Linked DNA regions of Caenorhabditis elegans. The protein of the gene in region 1 interacts with the protein of each later gene in a pairwise test. Each region holds a gene or a part of one and is shown in the gene's direction. Other genes may lie near its edges.

Evidence for each region. The genes of interacting proteins can lie anywhere in the genome.
Region 2: the proteins of srlf-35 (region 1) and rpb-8 interact in a two-hybrid assay, tested with the Caenorhabditis elegans proteins (one large-scale study listed by BioGRID).
Region 3: the proteins of srlf-35 (region 1) and F32D8.4 interact in a two-hybrid assay, tested with the Caenorhabditis elegans proteins (one large-scale study listed by BioGRID).

Annotation. Positions count from the first base shown.
Region 1 is NC_003283.11:500,799-506,533, forward strand, and holds srlf-35 (SXP/RAL-2 family protein Ani s 5-like cation-binding domain-containing protein), read left to right. Parts: upstream 1-3,229; 5' UTR 3,230-3,240; coding exon 3,241-3,429; intron 3,430-3,498; coding exon 3,499-3,774; 3' UTR 3,775-3,834; downstream 3,835-5,735. Other genes in the region: str-256 (Serpentine receptor class r-10), read right to left, coding at 86-164, 216-303, 350-532; T01G6.10 (DeHydrogenases, Short chain), read right to left, coding at 1,344-1,541, 1,590-1,760, 1,809-1,997, 2,156-2,425; srlf-19 (SXP/RAL-2 family protein Ani s 5-like cation-binding domain-containing protein), read left to right, coding at 4,724-4,915, 4,959-5,207.
Region 2 is NC_003281.10:4,916,743-4,920,905, reverse strand, and holds rpb-8 (putative DNA-directed RNA polymerases I, II, and III subunit RPABC3), read left to right. Parts: upstream 1-2,897; 5' UTR 2,898-2,900; coding exon 2,901-3,007; intron 3,008-3,064; coding exon 3,065-3,191; intron 3,192-3,327; coding exon 3,328-3,540; 3' UTR 3,541-3,663; downstream 3,664-4,163. Other genes in the region: mmab-1 (Corrinoid adenosyltransferase MMAB), read left to right, coding at 1-179, 226-358; ula-1 (NEDD8-activating enzyme E1 regulatory subunit), read left to right, coding at 590-704, 752-1,088, 1,141-1,230, 1,275-1,384, 1,436-1,620, 1,667-2,242, 2,289-2,507; rars-1 (putative arginine--tRNA ligase, cytoplasmic), read left to right, coding at 3,799-3,849, 3,896-4,161. UniProt on the Caenorhabditis elegans protein: DNA-dependent RNA polymerase catalyzes the transcription of DNA into RNA using the four ribonucleoside triphosphates as substrates.
Region 3 is NC_003283.11:10,891,097-10,896,527, reverse strand, and holds F32D8.4 (PIH1 N-terminal domain-containing protein), read left to right. Parts: upstream 1-2,967; coding exon 2,968-3,150; intron 3,151-3,195; coding exon 3,196-3,303; intron 3,304-3,349; coding exon 3,350-3,460; intron 3,461-3,507; coding exon 3,508-3,705; intron 3,706-3,757; coding exon 3,758-3,870; intron 3,871-4,648; coding exon 4,649-4,811; 3' UTR 4,812-4,931; downstream 4,932-5,431. Other genes in the region: F32D8.13 (Phosphomevalonate kinase), read left to right, coding at 1-141, 192-303, 350-646, 699-723; F32D8.5 (Transmembrane protein 70 homolog, mitochondrial), read right to left, coding at 730-966, 1,013-1,113, 1,167-1,275, 1,321-1,466, 1,511-1,601; F32D8.14 (Protein YIPF), read left to right, coding at 1,828-1,870, 1,916-1,996, 2,049-2,147, 2,210-2,772.

The DNA of each region.
Region 1 (5,735 bases):
CCTGAAACCGCGCCTGCCTCTTATGAATTTAATGGTACAAATACAACTTCAAAGTATCATTATAGTTAGCTTAGCTTCAACTTACTTTGTAATGCTGAAAAATCGATAAATGAAGTGAAGTGCAAGAATCGCGATGGAAAATCCGAAGCAACCAACAAATAGTACTGCAAAATAGCACACACATTGTAAGTTGTGCTTCTCTCTTGAAAACTTACAGTCTAGAACGCAAACTACAAACTTTGGAAACAACGATTCTTTCCAATTGACAATCAAGAAAAATGCCGATTCTTTTGTCAGAAGTTTCTGGCATTTCCAAATTTTTCAAGGCTGCTATTTGCGATTAACTTACCGGTTTTTCCAAAAAATACAAAAAAGCATAAGCCAGCTCGAAAAGATCAATATAAATCATGAGATACTTGTATGATCCTAAGGATTGCGGAGATTTTTTGAGAATGAGGCATATGAGTAGAAAGATGATAGCAATTGCGAAAACGGCCGATGAATTCAGAAAAACAATGTCGTCGATTTTCATATTCCAATCTGAAATGTAAATGAAATTGAAAATGTAATAATACATGAAATTATTTGAAATTCCGTGAAAACGCCCAGTCGAGTACAAAATTTAGATCAAAAATTCACTTCCCACTTACTAGGAAATTGTAGGCAAAAACACTATAACGTCATAATATTCCTCAAAAATGTACAATGTGGATAGTGAATCACGTATCAGTTGGTTCAAATAACAGTGTTGTAGTTCCGGTTTGAAATGTGCCAGATTTCTGGAAAATAACTGATAATAACAGAAAATAACTGTTTTTTTAAAGAAAAGTTAATTTTTTGGAATAAATTTTCATTGACAGCTAAAACTGCAATTTCAGTCACATTTGGAACGGTTGGAACTGTAGTTGAAGGGATATTGCGTTGGGAGTTGGTGATGGATAATGCCAAAGTACTGTAGTAGTACTGTAGGGGTACTGTAGGGTTACTGCAGGGTTACTGTAGTTTAGGAAAATTTGATTTTTCAGCTTTTGAAGGGATATTGCGTTGGGAGTTGGTAATGGATAATGTCAAGGTACTGTAGTAGTACTGTAGGGTTAATGTACTTTGTTTAAGGTTGTGGTGTGATGGTTTTCAAAATTTAATCTTTCAGCATATACGAAAAAACTTAAGCTGTTTTAGAGTAGAGTTCATGTGTTGTTTGTTTGGACAGAAATAGGTAAAGTGATAAAGTTGTATTTATATAAGAAACAAATCCTGTAAATCATGTATTCGTCACGGGTGTTGAAAATTCAAAAAAATATTCATTTATTAAATTGCAAATAGACATCAATATAATTGAAAAATCAATTGTTTCGCTGAATGTTTTGAGCGGTGAGCCCTGAAACCAAAGAAGTTCCTCCATCGGCCACAATCGACTGTCCTATTATGTAAGAAGATCTCTTGCGATCCGCCAAAAAAATAATAAGCTCGGCGATGTCCTCAGGCTTTCCGCAAACTCCTGCAGGAATGCAGGCTCTGTTAGAAGTGAAGTTCTCTTCGATCTAAAATTTCTATCAAATTTACAGCAATCATGGAACAATTTCGTTTACCTGTTTCTGGACCTGCTCCGACATTCCCATTGCCCCCAGAAACCCGGACGTGACGACACCCGGGCTCACTGAATTAACACGAACCCCTTGCAAGATGAGATCAAGTGCCACGCAACGTGTGTATTGGTCTAGGGCGGCTTTGGAGGCTGCGTAATAGGGGGATGGAGCAAGCTGAAAATATCCGGTTTTAGTTTGGTAGAAATTTATGGAGCAACAAACCGCCTGTGGTCCTGCAGCTACACTGGAGACATTCACAATTTCACCTTTCGATTCGATCAGGTGATTTTTGGTTTTTTTCACCATCTCGATGACGGCTTCAAAATTGATTTGAAATGTTTTATGGTACAGCTCGGTAGATTGATCAGTGTTAAAGGTACCGTCGACCACATTGGCACCGGCGTTGTTCACCTGGAAGGTGAGAAAAAGTGTTTAAAAAAACTGCGGTCAGAGATGCGCAGTACATTTTTTAAGCACATGTACAAAATCGAGCAAAAATGACTACATAATATTTGACGCGCAACATTGGATCTCTAATGATTTAAACAGATAAGCATACCTTCACTTACCAGTACATCAATCCTCCCAAAAGCATCGAGCGCCGATTGCACAATCTCGTCTTGCCCATCAGAATCCGTCAAGTTCGCCACGACAACACACACATTCTCCGGATTCTTCATGACCTTCAGCATCTTTTTCTTGGTAGCCTCGAGTTTTCCAGCATCTCTACCAGTGATTGTTACCTGGGCTCCATATTTCGCAAAGAGCACCGCAGTGGCTCGACCAATTCCACTTGAAGATCCTGTCACGATGACAGACTTTCCAGAGAAGCGGTTCATAGAGAAAAGGTAAAGAATAAGTATGAAAGTGATATTTTTGAGCTGCTCTCCAACATCTTTTATAGTTTTGGAAAATGTGTCGGAGGGGGACAGCGTCTGTGACTAGAAGGTATAAAGCTGAATGTGTAAGCACATGCGTTGGACGTCTGTGTCTCTTTTTGTGCTTATCTCTCAGTGTGTCAAAAAATCTATGACCAAAAGGGTTCAGGTTACTCATAATTACTTAAAAATATATCAAACTTATATAAAATATAAAAATAGTGCAAGTTTTTAAAATTTTCCGCGAAAACTAGAAAACTTATTTTATTGTGAAAAAATTTGGGCGAATGTTCAAAGTTTCAGGGGTAAAAATTCCTGGGAATTAAAAAAAAGACGGGAAATTCGCATTTTCATTGCAGTTTTTTTTAAAGGGAAATTAAAATTTTCAGTCCATTTCTTTGGCGGGAATTCAAATCTTCATGTTCTGAGAAAAGTATTGGTGCAAAATTCACATTTTCTAAGAATAAAATATAAAAAATTGTTTTTTAAACTTTTTTTTTCGAATCTCGACATCTAGATAACTTTGAACAATTTCGGATAAATTTCTGAAAACTTCTAGATGTTTTTTAAAAAGTTCCCCTACTTTTGATCTTTCTTCAAAAAATGATTTTTTTTCAGTGACTCATAAACGTAGACTACCTAACTGCCTAACAACTCTTTTCAAAAGACTACAAGAGCAAACACAAAAGTTCACCAGTGGCACAAACAGATACTATGCCAATACTATGGGCACCTAGTATATAAATTGAGGAGACACTTTACCAAATCACTCCAAAATGAAGTCTTACCTTTCAATTATTGCTCTGTTCGCTGTAGTTTTTGCCGATTTCGACGGACCAATGTTCTTGAGATATCAGCCGAGAAATATTCAACAGTCTTATTTTGCAATTGCTAAGAACTATCAGCTAAGTCAGATGCAGAAGAACCAGCAGCTTCAGCAATGGGCTCAGATGAATAATCTTTCGGTGAGTTCTCTGAAATTTTGAATTTTTTAAATTTGAAAATAAAAATCTGAAATCACAATAATTTTCCAGAACGAATACTCCAGCTACACACAACAACGGAGCCAACAAGAGCAACAAGTCAGCCAGCAGACTTCTCAAATAATTTCCCAGTTATCAACAGTTCAAAACCAGCTTGAATCCATTCTGAACAACGATAATCAAACGGGAGCTCAGAAGCGACAGGCTATCCAGTCTCTTAGATACCAGTACCCTCAAGAAGTTTCAGTTTTGTTCCACATTCGGGAAGTTTCCATGAAAAGAATGGGAATCGATGATGACCATGATGACAGTTATGAATCATTTTAAGTTTTTGAAGTTTTTTTTTTCTAATGAATGGTTTTAACTTTAGAGGACACATAAATGGAATTAAAAGCGGTATTGTTTTTGTTGAAAAAATTTTAAAAACAGCCTCAGGATATTTCATGAAAGATGTAATGTGTCAAAAAAAAGTGAAATATCGGACCGCTTCCTAGGTTCCTATAATTGTTAAAATATCCAAAAATTATTGTAAAAATTTTCAGAAATTAAAAAAAATTAAATTATAGTCAAAAAAAAAGGTAAAAACTCAGTCTTCAAGTATTATAATTTTACAATTCATTTTTGAAAATCTTGGGAAAATTCCAAAAATTTTCGACATTCAGAAAATTGTTTGAACTTTTTTGAAAACTTTTTCACCAAAATAAACATCATTCTAAAGTCATCTAAATGTTTTTAATATTTTCTCAAATATTTGTGAAGTTATGTAGATTTTTTCCTTTAGTTTTTCCATTTTTCCATTAACAATTTGTTAAAAAACTGTGAAAAAATATCAATTAATTTTTTTTCTGAAAATTTTCAAAACTAGAAACTGAATTTTGTAAGACCTTCTTGAATTTTATAAAGTAACATTAAACAATTATATGTCAATCTTTGAGTAAATCTGCAAGATGTCGGCTGCGAGCCTTATCAAAATCCAACCTATAATGTGTCGGCCGCTCATAATTCTATGTTCCTGATTACTATGGTTTCTGCTCAGTGTTTCGCTGAGTTTTCTGAACTTTTAGCCAATTTCTCTATTTGTTGCAGCTCCCAAAACACGTTGTTTACCGCAAAGTCTAGCCAGAGTTCAATGTTTTGAGTGCATTCTCTTGATTCTTCAGTAGCCTTTTAAGCTAGCAAATATGTCGTGTGTAACACGATTTTCATACGTCACGGAATACATGGTATTTAAGGACAATGTTTTTGAATCAAAAATTATCAAAGCTTATTTGAAGACATGGCCTCCTATTTTATCCTCGCTGTTCTGATTGCTGTGACTGCTGCTGCTAGTTACAACAAACCAAATTTCGTGAAGGATTTGCCAGATAACATGCAAAAGTCCTATGCTACAATTGTACGCAATTCCCAGCTGACAAAACTTCAAAAGGATGAGCAGCTTCAACAGTGGGCTCAGACCAATAATCTTTCGGTATGTTTAGATTGCTGAAGAAATTTCAAACTTTTAATTTTAGGATCAGTACACTGCATATACCAAGAAACAACAGGATAATGAGAATTTCATGAGCAAAAACACAACACAAATCATCTCCCAACTATCTTCAGTTCAAGCTCAACTTGAAGCGATTTTGAGCAACAAAAATCTCACTCGCGATCAGGAGGAAGAAGCCATCGACTCACTTGAGGAGCAATACTGGCAAGAGGTTCCAGTTCTGCTTTTCATCAGAAAAATGTGGAAGAAAGCTATGGGAATGAAGGTTTAGAGGCTTAGAAGCTAAGCACCTAAAATTTTAATTTATTTGCGATTAATAAATTTTTATACGACTTCAGATGTCCCGTAAATTTACACAAGACTCTATAAATCTACACAAGGTTTTGTAAGTCTACAGCAAATACTGTTAATCTAAGTGTAAAAAATTCAAAAAATCAGCTTCATTTGAGCCAGCGTTGCTTCAGTTTTTCTTAATTTTTTTTAAATAAGTGTTCTGGCTGAAAAACGAATAAATTTGCAGACAAAAAAGCGTAAATTCAAAAACCATCTACGTACAGTTTTTGGAGAAAAAACTTCGATTTTATTGAAAGAATAGGTTACAACTTTTGTCGCTAGTTTCATTATAATTTTTTATTTGTTTGATCTTGTGATCTAAACCTACACAAAACTACATGTAAATAAATTTTAAAATTTACCAAAACTAATCCACCGAATTGTCAGATTAATAGTAACGAGGGAGTGCGAATTTTGTATAAAAAGTGTCCATGCAACTGCAACTGAATATACTCATCATGATCGG
Region 2 (4,163 bases), on another chromosome or scaffold:
GAAATCGATCGATACGGAGACGCGTTGCCTGCAATCCGACAATTTATTCTTTCTGGCGGTGGAATGACGTCTGCTCAATTACAGTATTCCCGCGCAATTTGTCGTCGAGCTGAACGGAGTATTGTTCCACTTATGAGAGACGAAGACGTCGATCCAATGGCATTAAAGTTCTTGAATAGGTACTATGGTTATCGATTCATCGTTAGTAAGAAATATCAATTTCAGAATGAGCGATCTTCTATTTGTTCTCGGTCGTACTGCCTGCATGAGAAACAAGAACGAAGAGCTGACATATCTTCGCCCCGATTCGTTCACCAATTTGAAATGGGATCGTAAATCTCTTCACGAGAAAAAATAATTTTTTTTATAAATATGTAGTTATCATTCTTGTGAAACTCGCCATACACTTCGTGTAAAATTTTTATTGAATAATCTTGCCATAAATATCAGATTTGTCTATATATATTTTTCTTTTTTGAGATTCTTTATAATTTTTTATATTAATTGATTGTGAACTCTTCATAATGTATATTTTTGTTTAGAAACCAAAACGAAATTTTCAGATTTCCAACTTGTATAATTTTAGAAAATGCTACCATTTGACCCATCCACTAGATACGATCGTCAAGTTCGACTTTGGGGAGAAGAAGGACAAGCATCAATTGGTTCAACAAGTGCATGTGTTCTTGGAAGCGATTCGCTAGGTATTTTTGAAAAAATTGAATTAAAAATCCAATCTAAATATTTTTAGCAACAGAAATATTGAAATCGTTGGTTCTCGCCGGTGTTCAATCATTCTATGTCGTTGATGACGCCAAAGTTGAACAAGCTGACATCGGTCAGAATTTCTTCCTCCATGCAGATGATATTGGACGTTCTCGTGCCGAGGCAACATTGGAGAAGCTTACCGAACTGAATCCATCAGTCTCTGGTAGTGCAAGTAGTCAGCCACCAACAGCGTTAGCTATGGAAGATGTGGAAAAGCTGACAACGTTTTCTGTGGTTGTTGCTGCAAATCAAAATGAAGAAATTGATACGACGTTCGCGAAAGTTTTGTATAATATTAGAGTTCCATTCATCTGTATCAAGTACGATATTTTCAAAATTTGAAGTTCTTGCAGTTAAAATTCCAAAATTCAGAACTTTTGGACTAATTGGTACCATTCGAATCTGCATCAAAGAACACACAATTGCTAACTCACACGAAGAGAATCCGAGACCTGATTTACGGTAAAATATACATGAAAACTTCCAAAAAAGTTTTTATTTCTCAGATTGGATGCTCCATTTTCAAAGCTTATTGAAATGATCAATGAAACAAATCTAGATGAAATGACTCTAGAACAACTCCGCCATACTCCGTATATTCTTCTTCACTTCAAAGGTTTTTCTCGCAATTATGGTTGTATTCTGTTATTTACCTTCTTAATTTCAGCTCTCGAAGTATTCAGAAAGCAACGAAATGATCCTGAAGCGTTCCCATCTACAACTGCGGAACGTAAAGAACTTCAGGCGATTCTTATGAGTTTCCGACGTTCGAGTGAAGAATCCGGAACCAAGGATTCTGAGAATTTTGATGAGGCGAAAGCGGCGGTTATTCGAGCTTTTCAAAGAACTACGGTAAGTTTTTGATAAATTATCCAAATTGATTCTCATTTCTAGTAAGTTTCAGATTGGTTCTTCTGTAAAATCGATTCTCTCTTCTCCACAATGTTCAACATCGACACGCCCATTCTGGTTAATCTGTGAAGCTCTTCGTCGTTTTGTCACCGAGAATAATAATCTTCTGCCTCTTCGTGGAACTCTTCCTGATATGACTTCTGATTCTTCTCGATACACTCGCCTCGCAACTCTTTTCCACGAAAAAGCTCTTTCAGATGCTCAGGAAGTGCTTCGTTTGACACGTGAAGTAGAGAAGGAACGAGGTGTTGGTGACGTCATATCGGATGACGTTTGCTATCGTTTCTGTAAGAACGCTGATCGGATTCGAGTTCAGTATGGCGATGTGCTTGACTACAACGAAGAAACCAAAGCAATTGTTGAGAAAATTCGTGAAAGCAATATTGATGAAGAGACTAGAAATCAGAAAGTTGATGAAGCCACGTGGATGCTACTGATGAGGGCAGTTGGAAGGTTCCAAAAAGAAAAAGGACGTTACCCAGGAACTAATGGAGTTCCAGTTTCAATTGATGCTCAAGATTTGAAGAAGAGAGTTGAAGTTTTGATTCGAGAAGCTTTGAAGGTTTATTACATTCGTTAGTGAAATTAAAACTATTAACAAATTTTAGGATGAACAGGACTTCACATCAATCTCAAATAAAGTGACAGACACTGCTATCGCTGAAATTTGTCGTTTTGGTGCTGCGGAGTTACATGTCATTTCATCGTACGTCGGTGGAATAGCTGCTCAAGAGATTATCAAATTGGCTACCAATCAATATGTTCCCATTGATAACACATTCATTTTTGATGGACATACTCAGGAGTCGGCAACATTCAAATTTTAGTTTAATTTATTGGTTATTTCGCGAATTTGGTTTTGAAACTGTTCCTTGTGGCATGACATTTGTAAATGAGCCTTATTATCAGCAAAGATTTAAAATTTACAAAATAAAACTTTGATTCAAGATTGACATACTGAATATATTCATGAACATATTCATGGACATTGGAACATTGCAATTCGCTCATCTCCCATTTTTAGATATCCCCGGAAACCCCAATTTGAATGCCCGCGCAAAAAAGAGAGAATCGTTGCGAAACCCGCGCGCGTAAATGTTTGCACCTTTAAGTTTTTTGTTTCGGTTTTCCATTTCTTCGAGTTTCTTTCCTCAATTTTTTCTTGTTTACCAACTGCTTATTGCTGTTTCTTATGATAAAAACTTTCTTTATTTTAGAAAATGGCTGGAATTATTTTCGACGATATGTTCAAAGTGAAAAGCGTGGATCCAGACGGCAAAAAATTCGACAGAGTTTCTCGATACTTCTGCGATGCTGAGTCTTTCAAGTGAGATTATTTTAACATTAACTTTTTTACTGACTATGAGAATTGAAAATTTTTTAGAATGGAGCTTATCATTGATATCAACTCGCAGATCTATCCACTGAAGCAGAACGACAAAGTTCGTCTTGTTCTGGCCACTACACTCCGAGAAGACGGACTTGCCGATGAAGGAGAATATGATCCAAAAGTGAGTTTTTATCTTTTTACATTTTTTAAATATATGTTTGCACTACCTGTCTCGTTTTGACTTGGATAACTGATTAGATAACTGAAATTGAAAACTACATTTCACTTATTGTGTAACTCAATCGTTTCCCTTTCAGGCAGAATACCCAAGAATCAAACAGTATGAATATGTGATGTACGGAAAAGTTTACCGCTTGGAAGACGATGATACTGGAACTGACGGCGGAAAGCTCGCTGCTTATGCTTCGTTTGGCGGTCTACTGATGCGTTTGAAGGGCGAGGCTATCAATTTGCATGGTTTCGAGGTCGACATGAATCTGTACCTTCTCATGAAGAAGACTGACTTCTAATCCGCGACTGAAAGTTATTGATTATTTCATTTGTTGATCCGTTTTCTATTTGTTCTACTGTTTTTTATCTCTTTCCAATCTTCACTCAATTTGATCTTATTCTGATTTGTCAGACCGAATTTTCTTTTACATGAAATTTACATTGTTACAATTAAAGTAATTGACTATTTTGTAATTTTCAGTGCAGCAAGCCTGTTAAATATCTTCTTTGATATTCTCAAATTTATTTCCAGCAGTGTGCTTTTCAGGGTTTACAAAATGTCAGCCAATAAAGAGCTGCAACAAGGATACTCTGACTACTCAGCAGCGGTGAGTTTTAATTCACAAGATGTGGAAGTTTTTTTTATCATTTCAGTCCGACCAAGCTGCGCTTCTGAATCGTCTCATAACTGCCATGCAAAAGGGAGAGCTTACTGACGAACTTTTGGAACATATTCCGGAACTCGGCGATGCCAAGAAATTGAACGATAAGCTCAAATACCGGAAGTCGATTCTCGAGAAGAGCATTGCCGAACAGGCAGCCAAGAACAAGAAAAATGGTGTGAAAGCAACATCAACTAGTTCTCCATCTTCTTCTACCTCTGCTCCAGCCGAGAAGAAGGCCAAAAAAGACGGCAAAACGT
Region 3 (5,431 bases), about 10 Mb from region 1:
TGATAGCCATATCCGGTAAACGAAAATCTGGAAAAGATTACTGTACAAACTTGATCAGAGAAGTATTGGTGCAAAAGCGATTTGATGTTTCAGTTGCGGGTATTTCACATAGCCTGAAAATGGAATTTGCTAAGAAACATGGTGCTTTGTTTGAAAGTAGAGTTTGATCATTCGAAAATAGGATTTTTCAGGTTTAAAGTATGAAGAACTTCTAACTGACGGGCCATACAAAGAGCTGTATAGAAAAGATATGATCCAGTGGGGAGAAGAAGCGAGATGTAAAGATTCCGGATTGTTTTGCAGGTTGTTGGAAACTTGAAATTGTATTTGACAAATTATAGTATTTAAGAGCGGCGATCAGTTCAACAATGGACAGCGACATAGTTATTATATCCGACTGCCGACGAAGGACAGACTATGAATATTTCAGTGCCAACTACAGAACTGTAACGATTCGAATCGAGACAAGTGAAGAGGATAGAAAACAACGAGGCTACCAATTTGTCGAAGGTGTCGATGATGCCGAATCTGAATGTGGACTTGACGACTACAAATTCAACTTAGTTATCAAAAATCAAAGCGGAACAGATTTATCTCAACAACTAAATATGGTTACTGAAAAGATTTCCCGAATCATTGATAAATTGTAAGAAAATCTTTCAATTATTGAACAATAACGATAAAAAACAACTGAATAGAAAGCTACCTATCAACAAGGAATAAAAATTCTCAATCGTGATTTGGTGGAATGTGAACATTTTTTGTGAGGTCATCAAATGCCAATTTGTCAAGATATGCATTTCGATCAAGGGAAATGAGAAGCGGCCGCTTGCCCACAAAAGCTGTTGCCAGAGGGATCCATACTTTCTTCATTTCGGGAGCTACGGCTGCATCGACAACTTCAGAAGCTGAGAATCTCAATGCTTGTTTTTGCATTAAGAAATTGTAATGAACAGTTGTGAACACCTGTTAAAATGTTTTTGAAATGGATTAGAAAATGGTCATGCACTACCTTTTTGTCATTATTGTAAAATATGTCGATGGGAAATCGTTTTGCAAGAAAATGAAGTAGTAGCGGAGTGAAAGATAGCAGGACGAGGAAGGTGTTGGCCACTGAAAATAATGAAATTTGAAATAATCCGTTCTTCAATAGAGATAATTCTTACCAATTGCAAACATCATCATCGAAGGTCTTTCAGCAGCTGCTTCCCACAAATAGGAGGATAGCACGGGAACCATGACTACTCCGGCAAGAGATGAAGACAGTGACAGAATCTGAATTTTTGATTAAGACAAAAGAACATGCTCCGTTGAACGAACTTTAGCTCCTTTCACACCCATCGCGACTACATCATGAGGAGTTTTTTGTGATCCGGGAGGTAATGTTCCCTTGTGGATTAGAATGGAGTGTCCCAAGTCATCTTTATCAATCTTTGACAATGGTAGAACTTCGACGTTGCCTGAAACTCAGATGGAAACAATAATTTGAAATTTGAAATAAATCGCTTACACTTTGACGTTGTTCCAAGACTTCTTACACATTTTTGAAAGTTCGATGAGCTGATTCTAATCGGGCGGAGCAATGCATATAATGAAGACATAATTTATTGATACTACCAAGAAGCTAAGTGTTGAAATTTATTAAAAGCAGGTTCAGCGCAGGAAGATTTCACTCAAGATTAAGTTGTCCAAGAGGAGTACACGGACCAGAGTTCGTTCAAACATTTCTAGGCCGCGACACAAGTGCGCTCTACTGCTTCACTGTTACAACGAAAAATCTCTTCATTTGCCACATCATTTCAATAAATTTTTGATTATACTCTCAATATGTCGAATGGATTTTGGATGGATGATGGACAACAACAACAGGGTATTTTTATTTAAAGTATAATGTTTATAGTTTTATAATTTTCAGGAGGATGGAACACTCAAACAAATCAACAAGACATGGGTTGGGGTCAATTTGATTACTCGCAGCCACAACAGCCACCGCAGCGTGAGATTTATTTGTAATTAAACAAATTTCTTGAATATCATTTCACCTTCAGAAGCTGGAAACGACTACTATCAACAAAATCAACAATATCAACAACCACAAACCAATTATTATGGAGGACAAATGTTCATGCCAAACAACGGGACGGGAGGTACATATATATTTATATCAATTCTTCATTCTGAAATGCATTTTTAATTCTACAATTTTCAGCAATTCCAAACGCCGGTGTTGCTGCTGATGGCGAAGACTATGAAAATGAGCCACCACTCTTGGAAGAACTCGGAATTAACTTCTCACATATCAAGGAGAAAACTATTGCTGTTTTAAATCCAACTGGATCTGCAACTGTCGAAGTTATTGCTGATCAAGATCTTGCTGGACCTCTCGTCTTCTGTCTTCTTTTTGGAGCCGCTCTTCTTCTTCACGGCAAACTCTCGTTTGGATTTATCTATGGAGTTGGCGGACTTGGATGCGTTGGAATTTATGCCCTCATGAATCTCATGGCAACGGACGAGAAAAATATTTCCTTCACCTGCACCGCATCAGTTCTTGGATATTGTCTACTTCCAATGGCTCTTCTGAGCATTGTTACAGCTGTATTATCATTCAAGGGCATTATCGGGTATATTATATCGTCGCTTGCTGTCCTTTGGTGTTCTTCTGCTTCATCAAAATTGTTTGTAATCGCTTTGTCAATGGATCACCAACGTCTTCTCGTTGCATATCCGTGTGTTCTTCTCTACTCTGTTTTCGCCCTTCTTGCCATTTTCTAACGTCGTGTCTTCTTGTGAATAGTTTAAATACTTGAGTAATTTATTATCATTATTTATGAGTATAGTGCCTCAATTAATTCATTATCATAAACTATTTTTTGTCATTGATCCTGATCTTGATTTACAAACTTAATGTTAAAACTCGTTTGCATACTTTTTGGTTTCGTATATCTGGAAATACTGAAATTGTTTCAGATGGATCTTAAAATTGAAAAAAAGGAGGAAGCGGAAACGTGGCTCATCAAACCACTTCCAGGTTATGTGTGTAAATGGAAGGATGTAAAAATCAATGGAATTGTAAACGATGAATACCGAAAGTGTTTTGTAAATGTATGCCATTGCGAGCAATTACCGCCACCAATCGACGATTTTGATCAAGTAGGTATTTTGAAATTATTTCCGTAATATCAACTATTTTTAAAGGATGAAATTGCTGCTCAATTAGATGCTGGAAATCCGTCATTTCGAATTCCGATGAGTGTTGGCGAAATTGACTGCGTGAAAGATCATAGTGATGAAAATTCGATCAAGGTAGTTTAATTATAAATGTTTGATTGTTAGTATGAAATGTTTTTAGATTGATGTTTTGGTAAACAGCACATTCTATAAAAAACGACTAGCGTCTCCAAATGACGCATTCTTCCGTCATCTCCTTTGTCTAATTTTCTGCGATCTTGTGAAGGATAGAGTCAGTTGAAATTTTATCAATTGAAATAACATAATTCTTAAATTCAGCACTCCATTGACTTAGACCCATTGAAACCAATCGTTCTTCGCAATCGTGTTTCAGTTGGAGAACTTGAAGTACAAAAAATTCACAAAAAACCAGAAAAACAGATTGTCGAAGAAATGTATCAGGAAGATAAAGTTAGAATGGAGAAAGAAGAAAAAAAGCAAGTTGGAAATGATGATGTTGCTGAAATGAAAAATGAGGTTAGTTATTTTTGTTGCAACAATAATTTTAACTTTAAAATGTCTCCTTTAGATGTTTGGCCTGAAACACATTGATGGAACAAGAATACGACTTTTTGATGGTGACAGACTCGAAATCAGTATGCGATGTGAACTTAATGGCGAACCAATCAAAGATCCTAGAAGGTGGGTACATTATTTTAAATTCAGTTGAAATATAAACAATCAAAATGCGAGTTGAGTTTTCAAAAAGTGTGAACACATAATTAAAATCATCGATTTTTCTTTCAATTTCAAATGTTGACTATGGCCAGTGGGGAAATGATTGAAATCCATCCCTATTATGCTAAAATGTCGAAATTTCATAATAAATTAAAAAAAAACATTTTGACAAATTTTTATTTTTTTATTTTATTTTAAAAAAAAATCTAAATTACTGTCGGATGTTTGAACCCTATAATGTAATAATATGAATATTTTGAACATAATTAAAACATAAAATTGGAAGACAAATTGTTTAATCGACTTTCAGAAAATTCGTGAAAATTGAGTTTTTGACTCGAAATAAACATATTTCCAAAATTTTTCCAACAGTTATATTTATTTCGCAGTTTTAGCACCGCAGGAATGGTGTTTAATCATTTCCCCACAGGCCGTAACATTAAAAAAAATGTATCGTAATTTAATTTCTACCCGATGATAAATAATTTTCCAAAATCGTCTAGAATTTCTCAAGATTCTCAAAAACACAGACTTCATTATTATCTATATTAGTTTTACGTGCAAGACTTATTATTGATAAGTTTGTAGGTGTGAAAAACTGTATAAAAGTTTTTAATCCATAAGAGGCTACAAAGCTAATTTCCAATTTGTACGTAAAGAAGCAGAAGCAAAAAATACCTGATTTTGAAAAACCTAAAATTGATAACTTGAAAGCTTTTTTTAAAAGCTTAATATTTTTCAGACTAGAACTCCAACTCAACCCCACTCGATGCTTGGTAACGTTGGATAAAAGTCGCAGCCTTTATGATTTCGGACTCCCATTTCACATCAATCCGTCCACAGCCAAATCCAAATTCAACCACGAAAAATTCACACTAGTGGTTTCAGCAAACATTCTGTTGTGATACTGTAATCTCGCGTTTCTTCTAGATCTCTATTGTTGAATGCCGTTGTTTTTCTACTTGTTGATTTTGTTCCCAGTTTTGGAATTTTTCAGATTTGTTTTACTGATTAAAATTTAAAAAAAAATCTATATTATTGCTTTTGAAAATCGCCGAATAGATATAATCAACTAAAATAAGATCCAGAGCGTTTCGATCCTAAAAAACATCACATGCATATTGCGACTTTTTGAAGTTCAAACAACGAAACAGTCAATAAAATATCCTATGAAAACAAAAATTAACCATTTTTGATGTTTTTTGCCCGTGCAGAATCCTATTTCGAAGTAAATTATTTTCAAAGTAAGAAAGCGGACTAATTCACAACTCAATAAATGCAAAGTTATTTCTATTTTTCTGAAGGTTTCTAAACAAGAAAAAGCTTATTTTAACGTATTTCTTCTCTAATTCTCCATTTTCGTCTTCATCACGTAGAAACCAACACTATTTTCAATGTTTCTCATCCTGCGTCTTCCATCTCGATGTTTCATGTCAATGTTTCATTGAACTTATTGGTTTGCCCGTTTTCTGTGTTACATCAGAGTCCAGTTCTTCAACTACGATCAACCCATCACGTATGACAT